4 linked regions of the Lonchura striata genome follow. The protein of the gene in region 3 interacts with the protein of the main gene of each other region in a biochemical or structural test. Links are inferred from orthologs where the notes say so. Each region holds a gene or a part of one and is shown on either strand. Other genes may lie near its edges. The genes, in order: HIF1A, POU2F1, SP1 and E2F1.

What was found.
Region 1: the proteins of SP1 (region 3) and HIF1A form a complex in vitro, tested with the Homo sapiens proteins (2 studies listed by BioGRID). The link is inferred for Lonchura striata from reciprocal best matches to the Homo sapiens genes SP1 and HIF1A.
Region 2: the proteins of SP1 (region 3) and POU2F1 form a complex in vitro, tested with the Homo sapiens proteins (3 studies listed by BioGRID and IntAct). The link is inferred for Lonchura striata from reciprocal best matches to the Homo sapiens genes SP1 and POU2F1.
Region 4: the proteins of SP1 (region 3) and E2F1 form a complex in vitro, tested with the Homo sapiens proteins (4 studies listed by BioGRID and IntAct). The link is inferred for Lonchura striata from reciprocal best matches to the Homo sapiens genes SP1 and E2F1.

What each region holds. Positions count from the first base shown.
Region 1 is NC_134608.1:6,158,444-6,165,742, reverse strand, and holds the start of HIF1A (hypoxia-inducible factor 1-alpha), read right to left. Parts: upstream 3,002-7,299; 5' UTR 2,848-3,001; coding exon 2,813-2,847; intron 1-2,812.
Region 2 is NC_134604.1:14,930,920-14,938,468, reverse strand, and holds the start of POU2F1 (POU domain, class 2, transcription factor 1), read right to left. Parts: upstream 3,007-7,549; 5' UTR 2,886-3,006; coding exon 2,768-2,885; intron 1-2,767. UniProt on the Homo sapiens protein: Transcription factor that binds to the octamer motif (5'-ATTTGCAT-3') and activates the promoters of the genes for some small nuclear RNAs (snRNA) and of genes such as those for histone H2B and immunoglobulins.
Region 3 is NC_134629.1:8,069,619-8,077,403, forward strand, and holds the start of SP1 (transcription factor Sp1), read left to right. Parts: upstream 1-4,775; 5' UTR 4,776-4,813; coding exon 4,814-4,820; intron 4,821-5,255; exon of another isoform or gene 5,256-5,494; intron 5,495-5,803; coding exon 5,804-5,898; intron 5,899-6,467; coding exon 6,468-7,785. UniProt on the Homo sapiens protein: Transcription factor that can activate or repress transcription in response to physiological and pathological stimuli.
Region 4 is NC_134619.1:12,541,473-12,548,907, forward strand, and holds the start of E2F1 (transcription factor E2F1), read right to left. Parts: upstream 3,008-7,435; coding exon 2,816-3,007; intron 2,146-2,815; coding exon 2,055-2,145; intron 1,486-2,054; coding exon 1,266-1,485; intron 903-1,265; coding exon 750-902; intron 635-749; coding exon 520-634; intron 414-519; coding exon 209-413; intron 1-208. UniProt on the Homo sapiens protein: Transcription activator that binds DNA cooperatively with DP proteins through the E2 recognition site, 5'-TTTC[CG]CGC-3' found in the promoter region of a number of genes whose products are involved in cell cycle regulation or in DNA replication.

The sequences.
Region 1 (7,299 bases), on a different chromosome or scaffold from region 3:
ACTCTAGCAATGGTGGCTCAGTTCCCCCAGCGCTGAGAGAAATTAACAGACAAAAGCACTGGTACACACAATCCTAAAGACCTCATACACGTTTAAGAAAAAACAGGGGTAGCCATTGCACTTCAGAGCCATCAGCACAGGGTACAGGCTTCTCAAACAGATTCTGGAGCTGGACTTCGGTGGCAAAAATCCAGCAGAAAATCCCTGATCTTCCAAATCATCCCCTTTAGACACTAAAAAATAAGTTTCAAGGCCCAACTCTGAGGAACTGAAAAGCTGACGTTCTTCTGCAAGGCACCCATGTCAGAATATTAAATTTCATTGGCTTATACCATCTTAAGACCCAGAATGAATGCTCCAAAAATCACTTACCATATTTATTTAGTACCTATAGCATTTAAAATATGTATTTTATGTTCTAAAGACTTACAGCACACTAACAAAATGACTCCGCGTTACCTACGAGCTGCAAGCCACTACAAAAGTAAGGACTAATCCATAACCCTAAATGACTGTTTACTTAAAAAGACACTAGAATTCCTCTGCTAATAGTGAAGTGTCACAGCACAGACCCGAGGAAAAGCTTTTCACTACATCAGCCATCTGCACACTGGAGTTTGTTAAAAGAATATTGAGAAAAATCCCATACTTCTCACCAAAAGCCTTAAATTTGGTTCAAATGAGAGTGGATGAGCAAACAAAGCTCCCAACAACTCTGTTTCACCCACTCCATGCATAGAAACGCAGTCCTTGAGCACCTGGGGGAAAACCCAGGAGCACATCAAAGTGATACAACTACTGAAGAATGGCTAAAACCCAAATAATTCAGTATCTAATCATGGCGTGATACTTGATTTCTTAGGGAATCTTGACCCCTGTACATATACAAGAAGCTTGGAACCACATCAAAAAATTGACTCAACAGGCCAGTATAAAAATCCACACCTTCAGATACTGCTATGACCAAACTTCACTTTAAAGACTGAGACATAAACTTGGGCAAATTCCATATTTTCTGAATCTCACAGCATATAATTAAGTGAATAAGAAGCTTTACATTAACTATCAAGAGATAAACACTATCCACATACAAGCAGAGGGAGAGGCAAGGAATAAAAGAATCTTAACCCATGCCAAAATTGAGGTGTACTGTATATACAATTAGCCAAAGTTTTATCATCAAAGGTGATAAAGAAAAGGACGTAAAGGACTTCTCCCTTCAAGGTATTCTGAATATGGACACTATCAAACCTAAACCCTTCAAAAACAACCCAGGTTTTTGAGAAATGCAAGCATTTCTATTTTCATGAAGTTCTCTGCTGAGCTCATATCCTTCCTTTTTTTGCTTAGCCATCTTCGCTCAACTGTACATCCACAGCCCCCAGGATGAATGTACCACAGACACAGCTCTATGTTTTCCATTAAAACCCTGCAACAGGAGTAATCTGAATATTCCTTTATAAGAAACATTCCTGACTTTGAACTTTGTCTGCATGAAACAGAAAACAACAAATTCTCTTTCTTAAGCCCTGCCTTTAGGAAGGAAGGATGAGCTTTGCATACTCATTCTTGCATTCTGAAGAAAGCAGATTACATCCAGGATAAGGCAATTCAAAAAAAATAAAAAAAGAAAAAGAAAAAGTTTTCCAGTGGGGCAGAACGGTAAGTTAAAAATAACAAATGCTCAAAGGCAAAAGTAAGATAAAAAAGATAAACAAAAAAGCCCAATAAACCAAAATAAAAGTCTCAGAAAACAACTCTCAAACCCCTTTCCTAGACCTGCCACTAAATTAGGGCATCAGAGCAAAGAGCAGATTAATCATTTTGGTTGCAACATTTTCTCACAGGCTCCTCAGGAGCCATCCTCCCGGAGTAGAGAAACCAGAGGTGGAATGCCACCCCGGGTGCCCCCGTGCTGGGATTTCACCGGACCGAGAGGCGCTTCTCCCATCCCTCCCCGGCACCGGCTCCAAAGGCGCTCCGAGGCCGCCGGCGCCTCCTCCCAGCCCGGCACAAAGCTCACCATCCATTTTACAAGCGGCCAGGCTCCTTCCCGACACAACTTACACGCTGGAACACTTACTGCGCTTAATCTGCTCAGATGACCCTTGGATACAAGGGCAGGCAAAACGCATCTCGAATAATTAAAAGGCGAGAAAAGGTATCGATATCCATATAAACAAACCTTCTGCAGATGGCGAACGCGGCAATTAATCCCTCCACAAAGCCCCACCGCCGGGACCTGCTCACCCGAGCCCCCCGGCTCCTTAAACTTCACCGCCTAACAAAGGCTTTTAAGGGTTTTATTCCCCCCCACCCTTTCCTCTAATTTGCGCTTACAATCCTCGGTGAATTATTCATACTCCTCAACTCACATTGTCCATCCGCCCCCCCCTCCCCCCTTACACCTCCCCAGCGCGACTTTTGGGGATTTTTTAAAAGCCGAGTATCTCCAGAATGCGAGCCGGCCCTTTTGCGCACAAAGCCGGGGCACGGCGGGCTGGGAGCGCGCCGGGCACGGGGCACGATCGATCCCTGCCCGCCCGTCTCCGGGAGCGGAGCGGCCCCGGGTCGCTGCCGGGCAGCGCGGCCGAGCCCGGGCGCTTCCCCCCGGCCCCGAGCCCCGGCCCGCTCCCCCCGCCGACAAAATGGCGACGTGGACGAGAAGGAGAAGGAGGAATGGAAGAGCGGAGCGCTCCGCGGGCCGGGCGAGGGCGGCGGGGAAGAGGACGAGGAGGGGGCGGCGGTAACAAAGCAGGGGGCGGCGGGGCCCGGCAGCAGAGAGCGGCGGGGGGCGGCGCGGCATCGCTACCTCTTCTTGTCGGTGACGCCGCCGGGGCTGTCCATGGCGGCGGGACGGCTTCTCCTCCCGCCGGCTCCCTGGGACGCGAGGCTCCGATGGCGGTGGCGGGGAGATGGCGGCGCCGAGCCGGGTGTGGGGCCGCGCGGGCTCAGAGCATCGGGGCACGGGCTGCGGGGAGGTGCGGGCGCGGCGCGGGGCCCGCGCTGCGCCAGTGAGGAGCGGCGGCGCGGCCCGGCCCCTGCGCGGGGTCAGCTGAGCGCTCAGCTGGGCGGGGGCCGCGCCTCACGTGCGGCGCTGCGTGCGGGGCGGGCCCGGGCCCGGCCGGCCCCACCGCGGCCCCACCGCGGCCCGATCGCTCCTGGCCGGCCCCACCGCAGCCCCACCGCGGCCCCACAGCGGCCCGATCGCTCCTGGCCGGCCCCACCGCGGCCCCACCGCGGCCCGATCGCTCCCGGCCGGCCCCACAGCGGCCCCACAGCGCCCCTCGGCCCCACCGCGCCCGCCGGCGGGGCCCGTGCGGGTCCCGCCGCAAATCGCACCCCCGTGGGCACAGCGCGAGGAGATGGTCCCTTCTTTATCGCCTCCTTTCATCTTTGGTCAGTGCTAGACTCCGCTGCCTCTCCCAGAGGTGTAGTACAGTAAAAGCCCGGGATGTTTCTACAACATCGAGGTTGGAAGAGACCTTTAAGATCATCCAGTCCAATCATACACCTGGCACTGCTCCTGCAGCCCCTAAATCGCATCCCCAGCGCCTCTTAAACACCTCCAGGGATGGTGACTCCACCATACCCGAAGAGCCTATTCCCATGCCTGACCATCCTAACAGAGACATTTTTATTTTCTACCTAACCTGAATCTTCCCTATCGTGCATTAAGAGCATGTCCTCCTGTCCTCTCACTGCAGCCACGGCAGCAGAGACCTCCCTACACCTCCTCTCCGTGAGTTCTACACAGTGATGGAGCACCCCCTGCACCTCCTCTTCTCTGGACAAAGCAAACCCAGGTCCCGCAGCCACTCCTCACAGGACATTTTCTAGTCCATTTCCAGTTAAAGGGTTCAGAACTTCACATTAATTAAAGGGAACAGTCAGCTCAACAGCCGGGCAGCCCAGAAGGGGAACCGACAGGTAATTAAGCACATTTCGAGCAAGTTTTACAACTTCCCAAACCCAAAGCAAACCCAACAGCAGAGCCAGGAGGCTGTGCTGAGGCACTGTGACCCCTCTGCCTTCCCTGCCACCCACCCAGGCTGGCCTAGATCCAATGCCATTTTCCCAGTGCCTGTGCCCAATTTTCCTCTCCCTGTGCCCCCCATGGCAAGCCTGGCCTCAGGCACTGCTCACCTGAGAGCCACAGGATCTCCTGCTGACCTTAGCTGGCCCTGGAGGCACAGCAGGAGGGGCTGGACACCTGGCACTGACATGGCCACACAGGCAAGTGGCCTCTTGGATCAGGAGCCAGGATACAGCCATGGGAGAGCAAGGAGAGGAAAACTGGGGCAGAGCCCACACATTTAAAGTTAAGAGCCTTAGCTCTGTACCCTTAGCTCAGGGTCATGTGTGGGTAAGCACTCTGGGGAGGCAGGGAAGGCACAGTTCCAGGTGGAGTGACCCCACAGAGCTCAGGCGTTCCTTTACATCTTGTGGGTTCCTACTAGCAAGGACTTCAAGTGACCATCTGGAGCTGAACCTTATGAGACTACTCGGTTTGCAGCTCAGCAGTAATGATACCTTTAAAAAAAAAGCAGCTTTGACAGGCATGAGTGGCATTCTTTAGCTGCTGTGTGCACATAAGAAACACCTGCAGGGCAAAGTGATGGTGTTTCAGTACTGCACCTTCCTAACACTTCTGCTGTGGATTCCCAACTTCCAGGTTGGTTTAGGCATACAGTCATGGGTGTTCTGTATTGGGGGGGTTATTATTATTATTTTTTTATTTAGAAGAAGAAAAAGAAGTGACTGTGACATTTGTTAGCAATCACAAGGAGTTCCTGTATGAAAATGATTGCTTCTGCCCACAGCAGTCAGATATGTGGAAGAGGCACAGGTGCTTCTGACTACTTTTATTCCCTCAAGGTTTTTGCATCCAAACATGGACAAAGCCCAGCTCTGCTTTGCTTATGAGCTGTGACAACACAATAGCCCATGGCAGTGTGGCTGTGAACTACTGATATTTCTGTTGTTCTGTGCTTACTGAAGCCTTGAGAAGAAAAACAATCTAAGCAAGACTCAACCTCAAGTGTCTTGCATAAGTACCAAGAAGCCCTCCCCAAGGGCTCACAGACAACTTTATCTTTCAAAATGAAGTTTAGGCAGCTCAGACATAGTAAGAAATTCAGTTGTGCACTGCAGCTTGTGTAGGTTTTTTTAGTCTGTTCACAGAGTCACCATAACAGCCCCTAGAGGATTTTCTGGCTAAATGGGGAGGGATCTCCTGGTGGGTGCAGAAATGACAAGGCCAGCTCAATGCCACCTTCCCCACCAGAGCCCCTGGAAGGCATCCGGGGATTTTTGGTAGTGAAGGGGTGATAACAGAGGAACTTCCCGTGCCTTAGAGGAGGCTGGTGCAACTCAGAGCAGCCGTTGCAGCTTCTCTAATCGCTCAGATTGAGGTTGAAGTGGTTCCTGGTGAGCCTGGCACACTTGAAAGTGAAAGCCTCTTCTTTACTTTGACTGCAATCTCAGTGCCCTTCAAAGACCAAGAGGCACTTGATGCAGTCTGGACCAGGGACTGCTGAGTTATAAGCTACAGAACCCACCTTACCCTACCCAATAGGATTGTGTTTTCACTCTAGTGACTCTTTGAATGACAATTTTAGTGCCTATAAGCATGGATGTCTTAGGGTTCACTTGTGCACTTTTATTACTACTATCCAAATTCACATAATGTGCAATACATCAAAAGGGTTTATCATTGAGTATTCTTACCTAAGGTTCTGCTCACTTTAAATCACTTGGACATAACAGCTCGGGATGTGTTGGTGACCCCTGAGTAAAAATCACTGGAGAAAATTCCAGTCTACACTTTGCTAATGCTGCTCAAATGATTGTTCAAAGGTATCAGACTTCCCAGCATGAACTGTCTGGGGAGTTGTGAGTAAGTGTTGTGGTCTCCTTACGAGACACATTTCTTTCATGCCAAACATGCTTACCCCGAGCTCATAATAAAGAATAATGCTTCAAAACCCAGCTGTGTTTCTGAAGGGTGTTAGTGGAAACTTGTTCTGCAATTAAGCATTTCATACTGTAGCAGTTCTTGAGAGATGTTAAGCAAATGTTCTCCCTCACACACATCCTTCCCTTTATTAAACTTTTGTGTCACTCCTCTAATAGTCTGCATATACACTTTCTTTCCCACTTTCCCAGTGGCTGATAACAGAAACTTATTCCAGTATATGATGCCTTAGTCACTTTTCTTGACCTTTATTGCTGCTCTAAGTTCCCACTCACGCTTACGTTAGAGAACTTCCTGAGCACAATGGTGCTTGCAAATGACTAATTAGGGCAAATGCACAAGCTGATGAGTCAGCGAACGGCTCGGGAGGACAGCGGCAGCGACTGGGCAGCAGAACAAGTCCGGCTGAAGATGTGAGAAGTGCTCCTGCCCCTGGCTTCGGATCTGTTTGCTGAAGAGACACGTGTCACCGCGATGGGCTCTGGAGGCATTTACTCTCAGGATCCAAGTGCATCCCTATCAATAACGACTGGCAGAACTTCTGACTGCGGTGGGAAAAAAAATCAGGGATTTAATTAAGACATCTTACCTCCCAAACCCACTCACCATTTCTGAGCAGGGACTCACTGGGGCAGGCAGAGGGTGTTAAAGAGAAACTCTGTTTGTCTCTCTGGAGCTGGCAGCTCACATCACTGGGGATGTCACAAGCAACCTGCCCTCAGCACTGGCTTTCCTGGGCTTTTGCTTCATTGTAGAGCCCCCTATGCTGCCTTGAGAGGCTACCTAGAACAAAAGCTAGACAGTGTTAAAGGAAAGTACATATTTATTTTAAGTCTTCAAAGTATACACCTTGGGCAGCACAAAAGCCTGGCCAACACTACACCCAAGATGGATTATGGGTCACGAATTTTCACACTTTTATAAGTTTTGGTCCATTTCCATATTGGGAACGGCTTTCAATTACAGCTTCAGGTTATTAAGTCCTATCCTCCTGTTGTTTATACTTTTTGGGGCTGAAGCTGCAATGGTGTCCTTGGTTCTTGGGCTGGAAAATGATTGTTTTTTCTAATTAAACTGCGAAGAGAACTTGCTAACAATTTTTATGAAGTTCAGAGCTATCTACTAATGCCGTACAGAATCTGAAAAATATGAAAATTACAACTTAAGGCATCACCTACATGTAGGGAGTTAACACTCACTGGTTCAGTAATTGAGCTATAATGAAGGGTATATTCTAGCCTATCCATATTTGACCAAAAAACCTGTCTTGCTCACAGCACCACTGTGAAGTATTGAGTTGACAGAGGAATTCCACGAGGTCT
Region 2 (7,549 bases), on a different chromosome or scaffold from region 3:
CCGTTTTTCACAACCTCTGCTTAGCACATTCAAGCTACAAATTCAGTCTTGAAAAACAAGAATTCTGCTAAGGTTACAAGTACAGAACCTATAGCTTCCAAGCTCCTTATTTTGTCATTTTCCACATATGGATGGCATGTTTCACACTCTAGAAACAGAACATGGGTTCTACTGACTATACAGAAATGTCTGCTCTTGATTTAGCCCTCTCTGCTGAGAGATCCATATTTCTATCTAGACATTGCATATATCTCAAATTGAGTTTATTGTTGTGGCAACAGCACACCTAGAATGATTTGAGGCAACAAAATGTGGTTTGATGCTTACAGTGATTATAGGCAACATGCTTTTGATAAGCAGTATTCATTCATTCCTTTACACACAGATGACTACTGAAATTTCACTTTAGGGAAGACCGAATGGGAGTCCTTTGCTTTGGACACAAATATGAAGAGTCCTCCCTCATCCAACAGGAAAATGAGCAAAGAGTTCTTACAAGTCAAATACATTTTGTTGTGGAAACCAGGCTAACTCATAAGGCTACTGGACACAGGATGTAATTTTAAGCCCAGAGCAGAAGAATAGCTTGAACTCAAGATACAACTGACCACAAAAGGGAAGAGCACAGGTTGAGAAAGTTGTCTCTCAGAAAGATGGAATCCATTTGCTGAACCACGTCTGTTGCAGGAATTGAAGTATTAGAGCCAAGGTGCAGGCTACTAATGATAGAATAAGCAAAGCAAACTAAACCCAGAGGGGGGACACAGCTGTCCTGTGCCCAGAACTCAAGCAGGGCAGTCACTGTTCTGTCCTATGAGGAAGCTCACACAAGAAGCCTTCCTACATGATGAGCAAGTTTGCTCAGTCACACGAAGTTATAACTGTACAGACCTCTTTCCAAAAAGCAAGCCAGGACACGTTTTTCTGTCAGGCTATGCTGCAAAATATCCTTCCAGAATAGGTTTTTTAGTACTAGACATACACAAAGTTTACTTAACTACCAAAAGCCTGTCTAAATGAAGAATATTTTATTGTAAAGGTCCATCCTTAACAAAGACCTCAAACATTGCTATTGAAAAAAGCAGCAAGTTAGAAGAAGAAACATCTTTCTGGTAGTGCTCAGGTTCAAGCGAAGGATAGCATCCATTATTTCACCAGCTGACTATTTCTTGTTCAATCTGTGAGCCTTCTGCATGTAAAGCATCAAGAACAATACAGCTATTTCCATTGCAAATGGTATGACATCCATCTGAAGCACAAAACTGCTACCAGCAAAACAGGCTCATATCCGCGGGATACTCAACCTACTGATTCATTCTATGTCGAATAAAAAGGCTGCTTGGTTTGTATGTGCTCATGCAATTTCTGCTTCAAACTTAAAAGAATAAACAAATGAAGTGGGCTTAAAAAACCCCAAGCCTTAATGCCTTCACCTTTTTTTCTTCCTTTAGATCTTCCTTGGGTTTTAAATAAAGGCCCTGGGCTACAACTTCTGCCAACATTATCTAAAAACAAACTCCCCAGAAGGAAGGATCGAAAGCAGCAGGTGCATGATTGAAATCAAACTCTCAGGAGTGAATACATTCCATGCTGCTACTCTGCTAGCAGGGCTGAGGTGTCGCCAGGCAGTGCTGTGCCAGCCTTTCACACACCCTCAGGAATATTTCCAAAGGCATTCAGCAGTGGACACCGGACCAGCCTGAAGTGTTATAATGACTGCACACAGCTGGCAAAGCAAAGAAAAATCTTAACATGTTATATAACATTAACTGTTTTCTTTCACCCAAAGTAAAAGCGGAACTGCCTAATATTCCATGTGCACCAGCAAAAATTATTCATTTATATGCACGGGAGAAACAAAGTTTAATGTGAGTGAAAACATGACAAGAATTATTTAGAAATTAATTTTCAAAAACCACATCATATTCAGAAACAAACATACTCAAACGTCTGCTTTAAAATTTAGCATTAAAAAAAATATCCTTTTACTTAGAGATATATGTTCTTATATGAACTTATATGATTGGAATGAAAATAATACTAATAAAAAAAATATATATATATACATTGAGCTTTTGGGGGGAAAAGCCTTGAAAAGAAATAAAACCTATTGTAAAATTGAGATGATCCATTACTATAAATAACTTTAAAAGACAAAAAGAAGGAATTATGGCATGTCTGTTCCGCAGTCCTGATGGAATCTCAGCGCAGGAAATATATTATCCCAGTAACCTTAAGCACAGCTTGCAACCGTATCAATGGCAACCACTGTGCACTCCCCCTTATTTTCTATTACACACGAAGAACCTTGCTATATTAAAAATACACACACATAACATACATTCTGTTGTGGAATGGTTCAATACAGTTACTAAATTCTTTCAACACTTATGCTCCCTCTCATTCATTTTAATGCCTTAAAATGCATAACACACAGATATGCAAGTCAAGCCCAGTGTTTGTTAGAAGGCAAATGCTTCTCAGACTGAAATCCTAAAAGCAAAAGGTCTGAATTAATATCACCCAAGCCTGTGTAGAGGAAACGAATTCTCCTGGAGCAAGGGAAAAGAGGGAAAACAAACAAACAAACCAAAGCATGTATTTCCCTGGTACAGATCGAGCTATCCACCTAGCAGGCAGCTATTTGCTGCCGATTCACTGGTGAGCTTCAGCCCCACAAATACCTTCTGCATATGTGATTAAGCCACTATGCATAGTCAATCTCCCAGCCTCGGTGACCATAAGAAAGAGCTGAGCTGGTACCCACCTAGAACGTAGTCGCTGCAGTCCAGCATTGCTGTGGTATCCTCTACAGGTTCAGATAGTCCAAGGAACGGGAGAATGGCAATTTCTATCAAATCTACACTACTGCTCTGACTGAACATGAAAGGGAGTGGGGAGGTGGGGGGAGAAATACAACTTCAGTTACACCATAGCAATCTTCAACCGAACAGGGAAACTTCAGTTGCTGTGTGGAGTTTTAGTCTCTCCTACTAGCTGTGTCTGACATTGTCAAGGCGACTGAAGCGTGAAAAGTTCCCCTTTTTGTAATAAAATAGAAACAAAGATTGCAGCTGGCAGTTTCCATAATGAAGCTTAATCAGTATGCGCCTGATTAGGGCCTTATGCAAATCTCCTCTCGTTAGCACAGCAGCCAGCACTTTGAAGTCCATGAACAATTCATTTGCAGAGTACACTGAAAGCGCTCCCTGCATAATTTAAATCACGGTATAAATATTTATCAGCTCATTTGCATATTAATTGGCAGTGCATGAAGGGAAAAATTATCTCCCGAGTGCCAGCATAATAATTAGGGAACAAAATGAATTTTCTTCCAATAGCTTGGCTTCTCAGCCCTAACTCAAGCACAGTACCACAGGGGATCAGGGAGGGGAAGAGACAGAGTTCTGTTCAAATGCCACTGAAATGACACGTACAAATTAGAAACAACTCTACAGACTTAAGCACCTTTAATCTTATTCCTGCTGGCAACAATAACATCAGTAATAAAGGGGATTTGGAAAAAGCTTTCCACACAATCCAAATAATCCCACGAAAACAATTAGCAAGGTAGAAGCTGAACACAAAGCTGTCAAGCCGGTGCTTGCGCATCTGCGTGGAGTTTTCCACATGCGAACACGCACTGTCTCAGCAAGGTCCCAGGCAGGGAAGAGAGTCCTGCCAGGGCAAGGAAGTGGCACGATTCCCTTTAAACGGCTAAAGAGCTTGGTGATTCATTATCGGGTAATCCCTTTGCCACGGCCAACTTAGCAGCAGTGGATATGTCAAGTATTGTGTAACATTTGACACCCATTAATCTATCCCGAGTGAAATCAAAATAGATTTAGTCTTTTGCTTTCCAGTGACTTCCAAGAAAAAAACCAAAAATCTATTACTAATCCCTTCAAGCATGCACACAATATGGCTAAAGAAAGCTTATTTGCAGAGCTATGGTTTTTCAAAGGGGCACGTCACACCCACGCTGCATCTTTGAACCACTTGGTGATAACCAGAACGTGCCTGCTGCTGTGACCACAAAAGTACACTGGAGCACTGGAGAACTGAGAAGAGGCTTTGGTCTATGGAGAAATCAATCTTCTTTTCCAAAAGTGGTCCAGAGAAGTAAGTGGGCTAACTATGATGTTCTATTAAACCATTTCAGATAGTTTGTTGGCCACTCAAAAACTTGTGTCCTAAACAGCAAGAACATTTGTATAAAAATTCAAGCATGATGCGACAATCACAAAATTTATTACTCCATAATCTGGTCAGGAAAAAGTAGTGTGATGATGCAGATGATTACAGGGTTGAGCCACCCACTTCCAGGTGCTAATGTGAATTTAAAGAGTAAGTTGTTTTTCCTTTAAAAATACCATAGCTGTACTTTTCTTCTCCTCATTTCTCAAGTGAATTCAAGCACCACCTCTACAAACAAGAGGGAGTGAGAGAAAAGGGACTTCTCAATCATCCAGTACTGACTGGAATTTATTTCCACGCTTGACCTCTTCTTCTGTTCAGGTTCATATCTCTACTTAACACAAGATGTTCCCAGCTATATATTTAACATAAGTGATCTACACTTGAAAAAGATTGCAAGAGAGGGAGAAGGTGCTCCCTACTACAAGGAGACAACTGCACGTGCTGAATAGGTTTTCCTAATACCTTGTTTCCAACCTGGTTTTCCACTCACTCATATGTCCCACTGAGACCTCTGAGGCACACATTCATGGTTCGCAGACCTTCAGTAAACTTCACTCCTGCATACATACTTTTGGAATGCACTGGGAGATAATCCGTTTGCTTTATCGGAAGAGCCTGGACAGCACTGGTGGAACAAACCAAGCACTTGAGAAAGCAAGGGGCTGAGCTGAGGCAGCAGCAGAGCAGGACAGCAGTGCTCTCCTCAGACCGAGGGCGCTGGGCTGGTGGAACACAGGTGCAGCCCCAGGGGGCAGGAAGTGACCTGACCGTTAGCATCGCGCACTGCGTGGCCATGGCTGATCTGCCTCACAAACACCAACCCCCACACAAACCCCCACTGGAGCTGCAACATCCACTAACAGCCTAATTGAACTAAAAAATTATGTGTTGACCTGTCAAATTAACAACTGGCCAACAAAAACCCAACCAAAGAAAAACGCTCCCCAAACCAACCAAAACCAAACACCACAAAAAATCCAAACCAAATTGTTCTTTCAGTGAGTTCTTCATTCTTTGGCAATTTTATTATCTTATCTTTTATCTAAGCTCATAGAATCATAGAATGGTTTGAGTTGGAAGGGACTTTAATGATCACACAGGTCCAGCTCCCTACTCTGGTCAGGGACAACTTTCACTAGACCAGGTTGCTCAAAGCCCCATCCAGCCTGGCTATGAACACTTCTAGGGATGGGGCAGCCACTTTTTGTTTGGCTCTGTTGTTTTTTTTTGTTGTTGTTTGTTTGTTTGTTTAAATTTACCATTGTCAATCTTTTAATCTCTGCTGCAGTAAAATAGGAAAATGGAAAATGTCTGGAGAAGAATGGTGACTATCACTCTGCTCCAAAACCAGTGGTGGAATACACATTCGTTTAATGTTCTCTTTAGGTTCTGCCACAACACTGCACATTCTTTTCTTTATGGCTAGTCATTAAAAGTTACTTAACACCCTGATCCAAGGACATACTTCTAGTACTCATGTTTAAGCAAAACAGCACTCTGGGCTTTGTTCACAGTTTCATTTTTCCTCCAAAGACACCTCTCAGAAGAGAAAATGCTGCACCTTGTGATAAGTAAAAAGCTTGAAATATCCCATAAAACTACAGATATCTCAAAAAATGTGTCTCTCGTTTCTCCTCTTCAGCCAATTCTGCAGTTTTTACATAATTATTTCCTCCCCCCTCTGCCCCCCCCCCCCATTCTTATTCAAACTCTTCCTTAAAATCAAAGGAACTATCATGGAGCCAGGTATGACAAAAGCAGATTTTCTTTCGCCAGACACTTTGGAACCTGCAGATAACATTTCAGGAGACTCTTTCTACCCCATTCACTTCTTTTTGTCACTTTCTATGTATTTTCCACACCATACCACTTCAAATGAATGTCTTCTTTTGCAGTCTGCCCCATGAATATATCACTTTCTTTATTCAGTTATAATGACAGTACCTGGTTCCTTAATACCACTGTTTTTGGAAAGGGAACATCATTTTTACCTGTAGACTATGCAACTCTTGGTTTTTTTTATATGGATGTGTTTCCATATATTACTAAAATGTCATTTACTACATGGCCTCCATGACAGCTAAGAAATTTCTGCCCTATCCAGCTCAGTGACAAGCATGACCTTTGCAAACTTCAGGGCCACACTTGGTGATTACCCAATAAGCCAACTCATTATTTCCCTTTTAAACAGTGTACTTGGAGTAGAGTGCAAAGGAATACATACAAATGGAATACAAAATACAGGGAAAGGAAATACAGCATTAGCTGAAACATTAGCATGCTGCCTTCATTAGTGTATCAATGCCTAGGACATTCTACCTTGAAGGTACTACATATTTCCAAGTCTCCAACCACCCAAACAAAACCTAACAAAAATTTCAAAAAACAGAACTCCAATGTGTTATTTAAAAAATTGTAAAAATCACACACTTCAACAAAATAAACTGTTATTAAAGTTGGCACAATCCTCTTAGAGTAATTATGGACAGACAGCAGTCTGTTCATAGCTAGGGCTGCAAGCTAACTAATTTTAGCCACCACCTTTGACTGTGGCTAACAGAATTGATTTTATCTGAAAATTGGTGAGTTAGCTCTGAAAGCCAAAAAGAGCAGTTGTCTGGAAAAGTCAAATAAAATTGGCCTGGTTTAGACTTACTGGTCATTAGGCAATTGCTATGAATTGGAATTTTAATCTACATCTAATTTTACTTCTCACAAACTCAAATCATAACTATCCTTTAAAACTTTCAATGACACAAAATGCCTTTCAAAATTCCTTTGTGTACATTTTGGAAGGAAATTAAGCATGTGGAGAGCTAAGCAGGAATGCTAATGTATCTTATCAGTGCAGGACAGCGGATACTTGTTAGCACCTGATACATTAATATAAAAGGGTTTGTTTATGGGTTTGGTTTTTAATGCAACTTATTCTTGTCCACAGAAGGTAGAAACTACCATGGATTAAGTCTTTTTTTCAGAGAAATAAAACTGTGTTCATAACAAATTTACAATACCATCACACAAGGAGGGAAAGAAAAAGGGGGGCAGTGATATGATGAGAGAAAATAAAATAAATACCCTTATTCAAAAAATACAGAATTATAACTTCCACAAGCAAATAGACTTATTTGAAACTCACAGCTAATTGTGCCACTCAGGTGTATCATCTGAACACTTTGCCCTCCCCTTAATGCCTTCAACCCATAGCACATAAGAAAGCACCCATATGATATTTACATAAGTTTTTCTTCCATCCTGTTCAAAGTTTTCTTTTCAATAACAAAGGCTACAAATCCAGTGCAGTCAATTCTTGTTGTCTAAGTAAATATTATTGTCATAACATTTACTT
Region 3 (7,785 bases):
GCCCCGCGGCCGCGCCGGGCCCCCGCAATTACCCGGTATTTATACCCGGCCGGACGCCGGGACCTCGCCAGGGCGGGGGGGACACGGAGCGGGGGGGCTCCGTCCACGGGCAGCCGGCCAGCCACCGTCCGTCTGTCCATCCCTCCCTCCATCCTCCTCTCCATCCCTCCTTCCCATCCCTCCCCCGTTTATCAGCGTGGCTCCGGAGCTGGCACGAATTTGAGGGGGCTCAGCCGCTCTGTCCCAAATCTGAGGGGATCTCAGCTCCACCATGACACGAGTTTGGGGGGTCTCAGCCCCCTGAGATGAGTCTTGGGGGGGTCTCAGCACGACAGGGGTTGCAGGGCCGGAGGTGTCCCTGTCCCCATCCCGGTCCCCGGGGCCAGGAAACGCTCCGTGCCCGGTGCGGGGGTCCCGGCAGTGCTGTCCCCCCCGATCCCCGCGGTGTCGGCGGGGGCACCGCAGCCCCTCGGGGTCGGGGGGGGGAAGCGGAACCAGCTCGGGGATCCCCGCGTCCCCCCACCCCTCACCTGGCGCGGTGTCCCCCGTGTCCCCCCGGCCCGGCCCTGCCCCGCCCGCCCTCCCCGGCCCCCGGATGTTTCCCTTGCGGTCGGAGGCCCCGAAATAGCGCAGCCCCCGCGCTGGGTGCGCCGGCCACGGCCGCCCACGGGCCCCGCGGGACCGGGGGGACCGGCGGAGGCTCCGAGGGCTCGGAACTGGGCCGAGCTCCCCCCACCCAGCACCACCCACGGGGGGCACCCGGTGTTCGGAGCCCTCCCGGGCATCCCAGAGATGCCCCTCAGCAAGGCGGGGCACAGGGAGGGTCTGCGGGGCAGGAGGAAAGCGGGGGGAAGGTGGGGGGCAGGAGGAGCCGGGGGACGTGTGGGGACACGGGGCTGGACGGGGACAGGGACCTGCAGGGACAGAGGGGCACCCGCAGTGGGGCTGGGGGGCTCCCACCCACGGGGAAGCCAGCGCAGGGTGGCCCCGGGGCTGAGCTGCGCCCGCGGCCCCGGTGTTTCCTCCCACCCTTTAATTATCCCGGAATTATCCCTGGAAATAACTGCGGGGGGCGGGGGGGGAGACACGGGCACCGAGCCGGACGGACCCCCGGTGGGGACAGACGGACCGGGGACAGACCCCGGGCAGGCCCCGGGGGACAGGGTGGCCTTGGGGGGACAGTGGTGTCCCGGAGGTACAGGGTGGTCCCGGGGGTACAGGGTGGTCCCGGGGGGACAGGGTGCTCCCGGGGGGACAGCGGTGTCCCGGGGGTACAGGGTGGTCCCGGGGGGACAGGTACAGTGGTGCCCCGGGGGTACAGGGTGGTCTCGGTGGTACAGGGTGCCCCGGGGGGACAGGGTGGTCCCGGGGGGACAGGTACAGGGTGGTCCCGGGGGGACAGGTACAGTGGTGCCCCGGGGGTACAGGGTGGTCTCGGTGGTACAGCGGTGCCCCGGTGGTACAGTGGTGCCCCGGGGGGACAGCGGTGCCCCGGTGGTACAGGGTGATCCCGGGGGGACAGGTACAGTGGTGCCCCGGTGGTACAGGGTGCCCCGGGGGGACAGGGTGGTCCTGGGGGGACAGTGGTGCCCCGGGGGGACAGGGTGGTCCCGGGGGTACAGGGTGCTCCCGGGGGGACAGCGGTGGCCCCCAGCACCGCGGGCACCCCGAGCCCGCCCCCCGGTCCGTGTGCTCCCCCCGTGTCCCCCCCGCCATGTGGCTCCCATTGCGCTGCGGTGCCGAAGCCACATCAGAGCGGTGGCAGCGGCAGCCGCGGGGGCGGCACCGGGGGCCTGGCCCCCCCTCCGGCTGCTGAAGGACCCCCGCAGGCTGCGAGAGGAGCCCCCCAAGCTGCCACCGTGCCCCCTGTCCCCTCCAAGCTGCCGAAACCCTCCCATGGAAATCTGGGGTACCCCACCTGCTCCCCAAGCTGCCAGGGACTCCCCCCACGCCTGGACACCCCCTCCCCCAATATCCCGGGACCCCTCCACGCTGCCAGGGACCCCCCTGACCCTGGGACCACCCCCAGCCTGCAGCGACCCCTCCCCAGCCCTGAGCCCCCCAGGATGCCCCGGGTGTCTCAGCCCCCGGTGCCTTGTGTCCCCCCCCGGTCCCCCCGGGGCTGTGACCCCCCGGTCCCGTGCTCCCCCCCCGGTCCCCCGCCCGTCGCTGTCCCCGGGCCGATCCGCCCTGGCTCGCGCCGCGCTGCATTTCTGCGGTTCCCAACCCAAAATTGCTGGGAGTCGCCCGGCGTCGCCCTGATTCCTCCGCGGCCGCGACCTGCCGGGGGAGGGGGGGACCCAGAGGGACAATCGGGGGGTGGCAGCGGGGGTGGGGCACCCCAGGCTAACCCCGCTGCCCCCCCCGGCCCGCCCCAGTGCTCCCAGTTTGCCCCCAGTCCAAGGCTGAGGCTCCTCTGTCCCCGTGCCCTGAGCCGCCCCGGCCAGGGGGAGGCGGGGACAGCGACACGATGGGGACAGGACAGGCCTGGGGACAGCAGCAGAGGGAGCGCAGGGACAGTGCAGGGTTGGGGACACTTCTGGGGACACGGGACAGGACAGCACCCGGATGTGAGAACCCCGGGGACAGGACAGGGCTGAGGACAGAGATGGGGACAGAACAGGGCAGGGATGGAGGCACTGTGTGGGACAGGACAGGGCAGCTTTGGGGACACCCTTGGGGGCACGACACGACGGGGGACACTGCTAGGGACGCTCCTGGTGCCAGGACAGGACCAGTGACAGTGCTGGTGCCAGGGCAGGACCAGTGGCAGTCGGTGCCCAGGTCCCACTGTGGTGGGTGACAGTCGGTGACACTGTCAGTGATAGTCGGTGACCGTTGGTGCCCGGGTCCTGTCATGGCGGGTGACAGTCGGTGACACTGTCGGTGACACGGTGACACTGTCGGTGACACTGTCGGTGACACGGTGACACTGCCGGTGACACTGTCGGTGACACTGTCGGTGACACTGCCGGTGACACGGTGACACTGCCGGTGACACTCGGTGACACTGTCGGTGACACTGCCGGTGACACGGTGACACTGCCGGTGCCCGTGGCGCCCCCGCCAGGCGGCAGCAAAGCCTCGGGCCCGGGGGCGGCACCGCCCGGCCGCGACCACCGGGGGGCGCGCGGGGACACGGGGGAGGGGTCCCGGGGCAGGGAGGGGTTAATTGGGGGTGTTAATTGGAGGAGGCCCGACGGGGCTGGGGGGCCATGGGTGTCCCCAGAGGGGGCAGTTACCGGAGGGGGTCACCGGGACAAGGACCCGGCTGGGATAACGGGGTGAGGGGGGGTCTGACGGGCCAGGACCTGCCCTCGACCCCCCAGCCCAGCGCAGCCCCCGGGCTCAGCTCCGGTGGCAGGACGGGGACAGTCCCGGTGACCACCCCAGGTGCCACCATCGCGGGTCACAAGGGGACACCGAGTGACCCCCATGGTCCGGGGGACAGGGCAGGGACAGGATGGGGACAGGGCAGGGACAGGACAGGGACAAGAGGGGGACAGGGCAGGGAAGGGACAGGATGGGGACAGGGAAGGGACAAGAGTGGGACACGGCAGGGACAGGGCAGGGACAGGGAAGGGAAGGGATAAGGCAGAGACAGGGCAGGGACAGGGAAGGGCCAGGGTCAGAGCCAGGTTGTCCCCAAGCCCCGTCGGGTGCGGGGCCGAGGCCGCGGGGCCTTCCCGGGCTGCGGGGTGGGAATTGGGCCGAAAACAGCGGGAAATGGGAGGGTCACGGGGGGCGATTTTGACGGTGGAAAGCGAAACCAAGGCCGGGCCGTGTCCCTCGCTGTCCCTGCCGCCCCCAAAGCGCCCCTTTTGCTGTGAAATGAAGGATCTGGGCCCCAAAGCCCCCAGGCCGCGCTCCCACGGCAAGGGCGGCCGGGCTGCCCGCTGTGTCGGGACAGGGCGATGTCGTGACAGGGCTCTGGGCTTCACACAGCTCCTGAGGACGTGTCGCGCCGCCATGGCGGCTGTCGCGACACGGCCGAGCCGTCTTGCGGCACGGAGCGGGGACTCGAGGAGGGAAGAGCCGCACGCAGCCCGCGGTACCGAGGCGGGGACAGCCCCGGCCGGGCCCGGGGAGCGCGGCCGGCCCTGAGGGAGCCGAGCCCAACATGGCGGCGCCGCCATCCGCCGCGCCGTCCCCCCAAGGGCGCAGCCCGGCCGCTGGCCCCGCCCCCCCGCGGCGCCCATTGGCCCGTTTGAGACCGAGCGGCGCTCTGATTGGCTGCGGGCCGCGCCGCGGCTGCCGCCTCCGCGCTCGGATTAGCGGCCGCTACCATCACTATCGGCTCCTCTCCCGCCCCGCGGCGCGGCCCGCGCAGCCGGTTGGCGCGGGGCGCTGCCGGTGACCGCCACGCCCGGCCTCCCGCGCCCCATTGGCGGCGGCGCACGTTCATCACGCCGCGGCCCGCGCCGCCGCGGCCGCGCCCATACGGGGTCTCCCTGCGAGCCCGCGCGGGCGCCGATTGGCTGAGCCGCCGCCCGCCCCCTCCCCCCCGCGCCCCCATTGGCCGCCGCCCCGCCGCGCTCCCCCTCCCCCACGGGGCGGGGTGCCGGGGGCGGGGACCGCCCGCCCTCCTCTCCCCCCGCGCCGCACCGCCCTCTCTTCCCATTGGCCGCGCTGCCCGTCGCTCCGCCGCTCGCGCGGCGCCCATTGGCTGCGGGGGCGGCGGGGGCGGGGCGCGGGGCTGCGGCCGCGGCGCGCGGCCCCTCCCTCGGCAGCCCCTCGGCGGCACCGGCGGGTTCGGCCGCTCGCCCGCCCGCGCCCCCGCCCCGCCCCGCGCGCCCGGCCCGGCCCCGGCACCATGAGCGGTAAGGACGGGGCCGGGGCCGAGCGCCGCGCGGGGCCCCGGGCACACGCACAGGCGGCGGCGCCCGCCCGCTCGGAGGGGCCAGAGGCGGCCCCGCCCCGCCGGGCCGGGCCCCGCCGGGCCGGGCCTCGCCGCGCCGCGCCGGGGGGACCTGCCGGGGGAGGGACCCGGGGGAGGGGGGAAGGCCTCGGGGGAGGGACCGGCGGCCGCGCCGGGCAGGGCTGGAGCGGAGGAGGGGGCGGCGGGGAGTGATGGGGAGGCCCCGGGGAGCGGGGCTGGGGGCGGGGGGGGGCGGCCGAGATCCCGGGGGAGGGGGCGCGGGGACGGCGGGGGAGGCCGCGGGGGTGGGCGGCTGCGGGCGCAGCGGCCCGGGGGCTTTCCCCCGGAGCCGGGCACGGCGCCCTGCGGGGGCGGATGCGGGAGCCGGGGGCGGGGGGGCCGTGCGGGAGCCGCGGGAAGGAGCGAGCGGCCGGGGGCGTTGCGCGCCCCGTCCCCGGTGCAGACCCCGGTGAGGGGTGCTGGGGTGACGGCAGCAGCGGGGCGCAGCCCCGGTGCCCGGCGGAGGATGAGGAGGCGGCTGAGCGCCGGCAGAGCGAGGACTTGGTGGGAGAGGAGCCCCCCGCGCTGGGGGCGCCGCGGGCGGGCAGCCCCGGGCCGGGGATCCCGCGGCGGGAGGTGCGTGCCCCGGCCGGGCGACGGGAGCGCCGGGGAGCTCCTCGGCGGGGGCCAGGGAGTGTCCCGGGCGGCCGGGGAGGAGCCGGGCCCTGGAGCGCGGCCGGGACCTCCCCCCCTGTCCCGCTGCCAGCTCCTCTTTGGCAGCTCCCCGCGCTCCGCAGCCCCTTCCCGGCGGCGCCGGCAGCGCGTGGTCCCCCCGCAGCCAGCCCGCCGTGTCCCCTCCGGGCCCTGCCTGGCCCTGCCGAGCCTCGTGCCGCTGCCCTGCCCCAAAATGTCCCTAACCGGGGCTGTCCCTTCCCTCCTGCGCAGACCAAGAGAGCACCGAGGAGATGTCGGCTGTGAAGCCCGACAAGGGCGAAGGCGACGCCAGCAGCACGAGCAGCGCCGGCGGTGGGGACACGCAGGTGAGTGGGGGAGGATCGGCCCCGCTGGCCCCGGGGAGCCCGTGGCAAAGTCCAGGCCCGGGCTGAGCTGTCTGCCGGGCCCGGGCAAGCGTTTCAGCCCGGGCAGGAAGAGGAGGGTGAGCGCTGCCAAGCAGCGCCGGTGCCTTCCCCTCCTCCCCGGCTCTCCTCGGAAACACGCAGTTCCCCTGCTCCCGGTGACACCACGGCCCCCGCTGGCCCGTCTCCAGCTCGGGGAGCCCGGGAATGACCCTCCTTCCTGGGGGTTCGTCGTGCCTCAGGGGGATTGCCCGGCTCGGCAGTGGAGGAGCCCTCTCCTCTCTTGGCTTTCCCGGGCAGGCTCCCTCCCAAAAGGCTTTTCCGTGTGGGTTCAGGCTGTCCCGGCCTGTCAGCCTTGTGCCTGGCAGTTGTATTTTTCCGGCTGTGGGTGGGTTTGTTCAGGAAGGAGTGTTTATCTTTTCCGAGTATGCTCCTCCCTGTTTTCTTAAGTTGGTTTTTTAATTATTTTTTTTTGTTTCCCCGTTGTTTTTTTTTTTTTTCACTCCGGGCCTGCCCCTCGGGCCGCCTCCCAGCCCCGTAACTCCTCCTCTCGTCCCCAGGAGTCACAGCCGTCCCCGCTGGCCCTGCTGGCAGCCACCTGCAGCCGCATCGAGTCTCCCAATGAGAACTCCAACAGCTCCCAGGGCCAGCAGGGTGGGAGCGGCGAGCTGGACCTGAACGCGGCCGCCGCCCAGCTCACCCAGTCGTCCAACGGCTGGCAGATCATCTCGGCAGGCTCCAGCACCCCCACGGGCTCCAAGGAGCCGGGCAGCAACGGCAGCAACGGCGGCGACGCCTCCAAGAGCCGCCCGGTCAGCACCGGGCCCTACGTGGTCACCTCGGCGTCCGGCCTGCAGAACCAGCAGGTGCTGACGGGCCTGCCGGGCGTCATCCCCAACATCCAGTACCAGGTGATCCCCCAGTTCCAGACCATCGACGGGCAGCAGCTGCAGTTTGCCACCACCCCGGCGCAGGTGAACGTGCAGCAGGATGCCTCGGGGCAGCTGCAGATCATCCCCGGCTCCAACCAGCAGATCATCACGAGCCGTGCGGGCGGCAGCAACCTCATCGCCATGCCCAACCTGCTGCAGCAGGCCGTGCCCATCCAGGGCGTGGGGCTGGCCAACAACAGCCTCTCCGGGCAGACCCAGTACGTGGCCAACGTGCCCGTGGCCCTGAACGGCAACATCACCCTGCTGCCGGTCAACAGCGTGGCCGCCAGCCTGGCCCCCACGTCCCAGACGGGCACCCTCAGCAGCTCGGGCTCGCCGGACAGCAGCTCCCAGCCGGCCACCTCGGGGGCTGCCAGCAGCTCGGGCAGCACGGCCACATCCCAGGCCAGCTCGGGCGCTTTCTTCACCAACGCCAACAGCTACTCCACCACCACCACCACCAGTAACGTGGGCGTCATGAATTTCTCCACCAGCGCCACGGTGGGCACCAACGTGCAGTCACAGACCCCCCAGAGGGCCAGCAGCGTCCCCAGCTCGGACTCTCTGCAGACCCCGGTGTCCGGGGTGGCCCTGCAGCCGGGGCAGCAGAAGGAGGGGGATCAGAGTCAGCAGTCGCAGCAGCAGCAGCAGCAGCTCCTGATCCAGCCACAGCTGGTCCAAGGAGGGCAGACGATCCAAGCCCTCCAGACCACCCCGCTGTCTGGGCAGACCTTTGCCACTCAAGCCATCTCCCAAGACACCTTGCAGAACCTGCAGCTCCAAGCCGTGCCCAACTCCGGCCCCATCATCATCCGCACGCCCACGGTGGGTCCCAACGGGCAGGTGAGCTGGCAGACCATCCAGCTGCAGAACCTGCAGGTGCAGAACCCCCAGGCGCAGACAATCACGCTGGCCCCCA
Region 4 (7,435 bases), on a different chromosome or scaffold from region 3:
TCTCCAAAGAAACCCCAAAAAAAGCTTTCTTGGCTATGGAGCTGCTGCCTTCCCACCTCCCTGCCTTGTTGGGGTGCCTGAGCAGCATGGCAGCTCCTTGCTTGTGCCAACGGCAGAGGGGCTGATGAGAGCCACTGTGACATCCCACCAGCTCCCTCGTGTCCCCAGCTCCCTCGTGTCCCCAGCTCCCTCGTGTCCCCAGGCCCACCTTGCTCTCCAGGCAGCAGCGGCATGTTCACATCCTGGGCAGGATGCAGGAGCAGGGAGGCTCTGGGCTGGGAATGGCTGGGAGAAGAGTCCTCTGCAGGGGCTTTGAAGGGGCTCTTGACGGGGCTGCAGACCCCAGAGCTGTCCTCGGGGCAGAGGAACACATCAATGGGGCCCTGAGTGCTTCGCAGGGAGACCTGGAATGCCTGGGGAAGGGGACAGGAGTGAGACAAGGTGGCACAAGAACACCCAGGGAACAGCCGGGGCTGTTCAGGGAGGGCACAGCAGGAGCAGAACGTGACCCCAACTCACCTCTGCTGGGTCTGAGACCTGCAGCTGGGTCTCTGGGGGGGCTTTGATAACCATCACCATTTGCTCCGCGGGGTCCACAATGCTGCGGAGGTCCTGGCAGGTGACATAGGCTGCGGTGGGGTGGGTCAAGGAAGGGACACGGGGATGTGGGCTGAGAAACTCCCTGCCTGTGCCACCGCGGCTCAAGCACAGCCCCACCCAGCCAGCCCCACCCCAGAACCAAAGGATATTGCTGGTTGGCGGGGTCCTCGGTGAGCAGGCGCAGCTGCACCGTGCACATCTGGATGAGGTCATCCAGCTGCCGCTCGGCCGCCTGCAGCTCCCGCAGCTCCTTCTCCAGCAGCCGGTGCCGGCCTGGCGCTCCCACCGTGGCCTGGCTGCCCCTGGGGAGCACCGTGTCCATCAGGAGCCGCTCCCACAGCTTCCAGGGCCCCACCCAGGCCAGGCCACATCCCACCCCCCCGGCAGGGAACCAGCCCTGCAGGGATTTTGCAGCAGAGTGCTGCTCCCCCAAGGCTGGATGCAGCCCTCCCCTCCCCTGGGTGACTCGGGGAGTCCCAGGGGGACTCGCAGGACCCTCCTGCCATTGAGCACAGCCGTCCCCACAGGGAGCCACCACTTGGCCTGCAGCAGAAGCTCTGGTGACCCCGCCCTGAAATTCTCCACCCAGGTAAGACCCTCCTCCTCCCAGACAGCTCCCCCACCCCAGGAACAGCCAGGCACAGCCCCATGAGCCAGCGACATACAGCCACTGGATGTGGTTCTTGGACTTCTTGGTGATGAGCTGTATGCCCTCCAGGACATTGGTGATGTCGTAGATGCGCCTCTTCTGCACCTTCAGGACGTCGGCCGCCCAGTTGAGGTCCACCACACCATCTGGGGACTGGCTCAGCAGCTCCAGGAAGCGCTTGGTGGTGAGGTTCAGGGAGGTTTCATAGCGGGACTTCTCTCCAGGAGACTTTGCCCCTGCCAGACGTGGAGGACAAGTTTCATCCACAGCTGAAGCTGAAAGGTCACAAAACTCCTGCCATACTTGCAGGTGGCTTGTGGACTAGTGACCAGGACTGGCACCCCAAACCCAATCTGTTATCTCAGGGCAACGGGGTGAGTTGCCCAAATCCCCTGTAGGAAGGATGTTGCAGCACCTGGCACAAGCTGTGACACCTGTGCTCCGTTGTGACCACAGCTGTGACTGAGACACCAAGTGCCAGGCTGGGCTTGGGGGGAGATAACAGCAGGTCCACCTGGGACACTGCACTGACACCATGCTGGCACCTACAGCTCCATCCCACGGGGAGGGACAGAGCCGGAGGGGTGCCCAGCACAAGGGCAGGACAGCCATGCCACCAGCACAGGGCACAGCAGTGAGTGTGGAGGGTGGACAGAGGCAGGCCAGCCCCGGGAACAGCCCATCCACACCGACACAAAGGGCCTGGAAGGAGCTACCAGGATGAGCCTGGGGGAGCAGAGTGGGGCTGCTGGACCTCTGCTCTGAGCTGGGCTGGCAAGGGGGCCGGGGGGAGTGGAGCCGGTACCTTTAGCGGGGTTCCTGGCCTTGCCCCGGCTCACTGGCAAACTCTCCGCTATGTACTGGTGATCCGTCTCCAAGTTCAGCTTCCTCTTCACCTGCAAGGGCCGGGGTCAGCACAGGGACAGCCGCCCCAGGCCCCACTGCTGTGAAGGGTTTCTGTGAGGACCCCCCACAGCACAGTGGGGTACAGACACCCCGGATCCCGGCAGGAAGGGGTTGATGAGAGCTGTCACCCCGCTGGCAGGGATGGGGGCTGGCCCAGCCGCGGGGCCCCGCCGCGCTGCGGGGAGCGCCCCAAAGCCGACCGGGCCGTGGCTGGGGAGGCCAAGCACGGCCCGGCGCCGGGGCCTGCGGCTTCCGGAGCGGCGGCGGGGCAGGGCCGGCCCGGCAGGTGCTGCGTGGCACGGCCCGGCCGTACAGCCTGGCACAGCCGGGTGCACCGGGCACGGGCTGACACGGAGCAGGGCACGGCATATGGCACAGCACGGGGCACAGCAGGGTGAAATACGGTCCGGCCCGGTACGGAGCCCTGTCCGCTGTACAGCCCGGCTGGCTTTGGCACGGCTCGCTACATAGCACGGCCCGGTACGCAGCCGGGCCCATTGTACAGCCCGGCTCGGTGTAGCCCGGTCGGGTATACGGCCCGGTCGTTACAGGCCGGTTCGAGGCCCAATACTGCACAGCTCGGAACACAGCCCGGGCTCGCCGGTCCCCGGAGCCCCCGCCCGGCCCCCGCCCGCTCCCCATCCCACTCGCGGGGGTTACCGGCGGGCGGCCCAGCGCGGGCCGTCTGGGCGCGGCGCCGGGGCGGGCGGGCTGCGGCGTGGCGAAGAGCAGGAGGTCGGTATCGGGGTGGCCGCCGCCCGCGGGCTCCTCGGCGGCGGAGACGATCAGGAGGTGCGGGGAGGCGCTGCCCAGCAGCGCTGCCAGCCCCGCCGCGCCGCCCGCCGCCGCCATGGCTCACATGGCAGCCGGTGCCGCCGGTGCGGCGGGCGGCGCGGCGGGCAGGGCGCGGACAGGGGCGCGGCCCATGGCGGGCGCGGGGCCGCTGCGCTCCAGCTCCGGCTCCGGCTCCGGCTCCGGTGCGGCCGCCGCCGGATTGTTCGGCGCGCCGGCCCCGCGCGCCTTTGCGCGCCAAATCCTTTTTGCCGCGAAAAGCGGCGCGAGCCGCCCCGCCGCCCGCCCATTGGCTGCGCCCGCCTCGGCGGGGAGGAGAGAACGCGCTGCCATTGGCCGCGGCGCGCGGGGCGGCGGGCGGTGCCGCGCGGCCATTGGCGGGCGGGGGCCGCGCTGACAGGCGGCCAATCAGCGGCGCCGCGCCCGGGCGGCGGCCAATGGGAGCGCGGCTCGGGGACGCGGCGGGGGCGCAGCGCGGGTGCGGCGCGCGCTGCGTGTGTCCCCCTCGGGGTGTCCCCTCCCGTGTCCCTCTTTGTGTCCCCCGTGTCCCCCTCGGGGTGTCCCCTCCCGTGTCTCGGTGTCCCCCTCGGGGTGTCCCCTCCCGTGTTCCTCTTTGTGTCCCCCGTGTCCCCCTCGGGGTGTCCCCTTCCGTGTCTCGGTGTCCCCCTCGGGGTGTCCCCTCCCGTGTTCCTCTTTGTGTCCCCCGTGTCCCCCTCGGGGTGTCCCCTCCGTGTCCCTCTTTGTGTCCCCCGTGTCCCTCTCGAGGTGTCCCCTCCCGTGTCCCTGTTTGACAAGAGGGTGTCCCCCTCGTGTGCCGCCGCGGATTCCTCGCTCCGAGCCGGCCCCGGCTGCCGGTGTTCCCAGCCGTGGGGATTTCAGGGCTCGGGCCGAGCCGGTCCCGGCCCGGGCTCAGCCCCGCCGGGGTGCTGCGCTTCCGGCTGCGGGCGCGGCCGCTCCCCGCTCCGGATGGCGCGGGAGGACGGGGCACGCACCCACGAGCAAAGTTCAGCTCGCTCCCCTGCCCTGCGGACTCCGCCCGCCCACGGGTGTCACTGCTGGGGAAGAGGGCGGCTTTGGGCTCTGCGGGGCGTCGCAGGCTGCCCCCCGTGTGTTCCCCTTGCCCGGGGGTGACAGCCAGCCCAGCCTGGCCCGGCCCCCCGCAGCAATGCCTCGCAGTGGGGACATCAGTGGCTCCTCTCCTGTGCTGCGGGCCGTGGGCAGGATTTCTGTCTGGGCGCTGGGGCGTTGAAGGGCTCGGTTCAGGGCTGTCCACCTCCCTTGTGGAAGCAGCCCCGAGACCACGGCTGAGGCTGTCCGACAAATCTGGAGGCTTCGGGCTCTGACGCTGCTCCAGGGCCCAGCGCACACGGGAGGGCTGGGATGCTGCAATCTGCTCCATCCGTCTGCCCGGGGATTCACGGCATTCTGTTTGCAAACAGCTGCGGATCTCGGCAGCTCCTTCAGGAATGGCTGATAACCCCTTAGAGGGCAGAGGAAAAGCTCTGCCGGGAGCACAACCTGCACTTGACCGTGCCAGGCGCTATCTCCGGCCGTGGGAGCGTGTGGCTGGGGAGAGGCAGGGACACAGGGACGGCAGACGGAGCCGGGAGTGGCCCCATATGCTGAGAAAGATGAGAGTCCACCCATGAGACACGGGACAGGCAGCTCCCAGCACCAGTATCTCCTGTCTGCAGGACACTGATAACCTCCTGCTGCATGAGGAGGCAAAATTAAAAAGGAAAAAAGTACATCCTGCTAATAAAAAAAAAAAATTAAAAAGCATTTAAAGATTAGGCTTTTTGCAAGGCCCAGACATGGGGAAGCTCATGAGGAAAGTTTGTAGAGGGGTCTGATCCAAGCACCCAAACCCATGCTGAGCCAAGCTCAGGGTTTGACCCCTCTGTGCCCCCCACGTGCCCCCGGGGGTTGGTGGTCGAGCACAGTGACCCCCAGCCCACTGCTGCTGCCAGGCAGAGCTGTGAGCCAGTGCTGGCTCCTGCTGCCAACCCTGACCTGCCCGGGATGCAGGAGAAGGGCTGTTTTCCCAGCACTGCAGAAGGGCTGTTTTCCCAGCACTGCAGGAGAAGGGCTGTTTTCCCAGCAGTGCGTGGGATGCAGGAGGCATTTGCAGGGATGAGTTAACCTCTTTGCTGTGGAGCAGATCCTGACATGCAGTGCCCCTGTGCTGGCCTAACAGGTTTCTGGCTTTAAAGGATTTTATGCTGGATGCTTTGGCAGTGGCTGCAATTCCTCTGGGGGTGGCCAGTGTGGAGCAGGGCTGTGATTTCCCTGGGTCCCTCCATCCTTAAATACAGCAGTAACATGGTGCATGTCCGTGACCAATCCAATAAACTCGCTGTGCCTCATTTCTTCATCAGCAGAGAGCAAATAGAAACGCTGCCTTGCTTAAAGGAAATTAATATAGTTAATTAACACTTGGCCCTTCTAATATTCCGGGCCCCACTCTCCAGAGCCCTTCCACTGCAATATCATCATTACTAGGAAGCATAAGCAACAGTTAGACCAGATGTTTGCACACAGTTAATGCTTCTTCCATCTGGGGAAGGGGGAAAAAGGCAACCCCAGCAGCCGGGCGGGAGCGCATGGCTGGCGGTGCTCTCCCCATCCCTGGGGAGCCTCAGCCCGGCGCTTCCTGGGATGAGGCAGGGTTTGGGACACAGCTGCTGCACCAGCTGCTCCCGCTCGGCTCACAAAGGCTGCCTTCACCCCCCTAATTCATGCAGGAGCTCTTCGGGGGGAGCAGGCTCTGCCCCCTCTCCCGGAGGCTGCGCTTCGACTTCTCCGAGGCTTTCAGCGCCGGCGGCGCGAAAAGGGGCGGCTGTGGAGACAAATGAAAGGCGAACGCTGGTGGGAGAAGGACGGGCAGGGCCTTTCTGGCATGTGGGTGAGGGGAAGCAGATGAATTCTGTCTCCTGCACAACTGCAGCCTCCCCCGGCAGCCCCGCTGAGGAGCGCGGACGTGCTCCCGAGATTATCCGTGCGGCAGGTGCTGCTCCCGATAAAGTCCAGACTGCTCATCCCTGCCTTCACATCCCTGCCTTCACATCCCTGTCTGCACATCCCTGTCTGCATGTCCCTGCCTTCATATCCCTGCCTTCACATCCCTGTCTGCTCATCCCTGCCTTCACATCCCTGTCTGCACATCCCTGCCTTCACATCCCTGTCTGCACATCCCTGTCTGCATGTCCCTGCCTTCATATCCCTGTCTGCACATCCCTGTCTGCTCATCCCTGCCTTCACATCCCTGCCTTCACAGCCCTGTCTGCATGTCCCTGCCTTCATATCCCTGTCTGCACATCCCTGTCTGCACATCCCTGTCTGCACATCCCTGCCTTCACATCCCTGTCTGCATATCCCTGCCTGTTCATCCCTGCCTGTTCATCCCTGTCTGCACATCCTTGCGTGCACAGCCCTGCCTGCACATCCATGCCTGCACATCCCTGCCTGTACATCCCTGCCTTCATATCCCTGTCTGCACATCCCTGCCTGCACAGCCCTGCCTGTTCATCCCTGTCTGCTCATCCCTGTCTGCACAGCCCTGCCTGCCCATCCCTGCCTGCTCAGCCCTGCCTTCACATCCCTGCCTGCCCATCCCTGCCTGCTCATCCCTGCCTGCCCATCCCTGCCTGCACATCCCTGCCTGCTCATCCCTGCCTGCACATCCCTGTCTGCCCATCCCTGCCTGCACAGCCCCGCTCTCTCCTGCACAGCAGTGGGAAGGCTGCTCAGACACCTCGTGCCGTGGCAGCCGCTGAGTTTGGGTGGGTTTGGCACTGTGGGATAGACTCAGAGCAAGGCTGTGTGCTGGGAGAAGTCTGCAGCTGGAGCACAGCTGGTACCTGCGCTGGAAAATCACCTGGCAGCGGGAGCAGGGGGGAGGAGAGCTGCAGGATGCAAACCCCTTGCTGGGTTAAGGGCAGCCTGTGGGTGTCCCAGGAGCACATTTACTGTCCCTGCCATCGCAGAGGCAGTCCCAACCTCCAGCAGTTCCCACCGGGAGTGTGTCACATGTGAGCAGAGCAGGACTTCCCTGGGGTCTCCTGCCAATGTCCCTGTCCCAGTTCCCTGGTTTGTTCGCAAGATGGTGAGTTGGCAGTGTGGCACAATCTGCCTGTGGTGGGGACACACAGCTGGGGAAAGCCCAGAGCCCCCCCAGTTCTGCCCTGACCCTACAGTCCCTCACCTCTGCCACCTGAGCCGTCACCGTTGTTCTGTGCAAACCAAAGCCACTTTCTGGAAGCTTCTAGAAGTGTCTAAAGCTGGCTTGTGGCAGAAGGGGCAGCCCTGGTTTAGGTGTTTCCTCTCAGATCCCAGTCCCAAAAGCCAGGCAGTGCTTGTTCCCTTGCATCTCTTACAGAAGACACAGCCCTTGTCACAGGACACCAGGTCAGCTCCTCTTTTGGATGCTGGGCACGCCAGACCCAGCAGTGCCATCTCCTCCTCTCTGTTTTTAAAGCTCACACCATG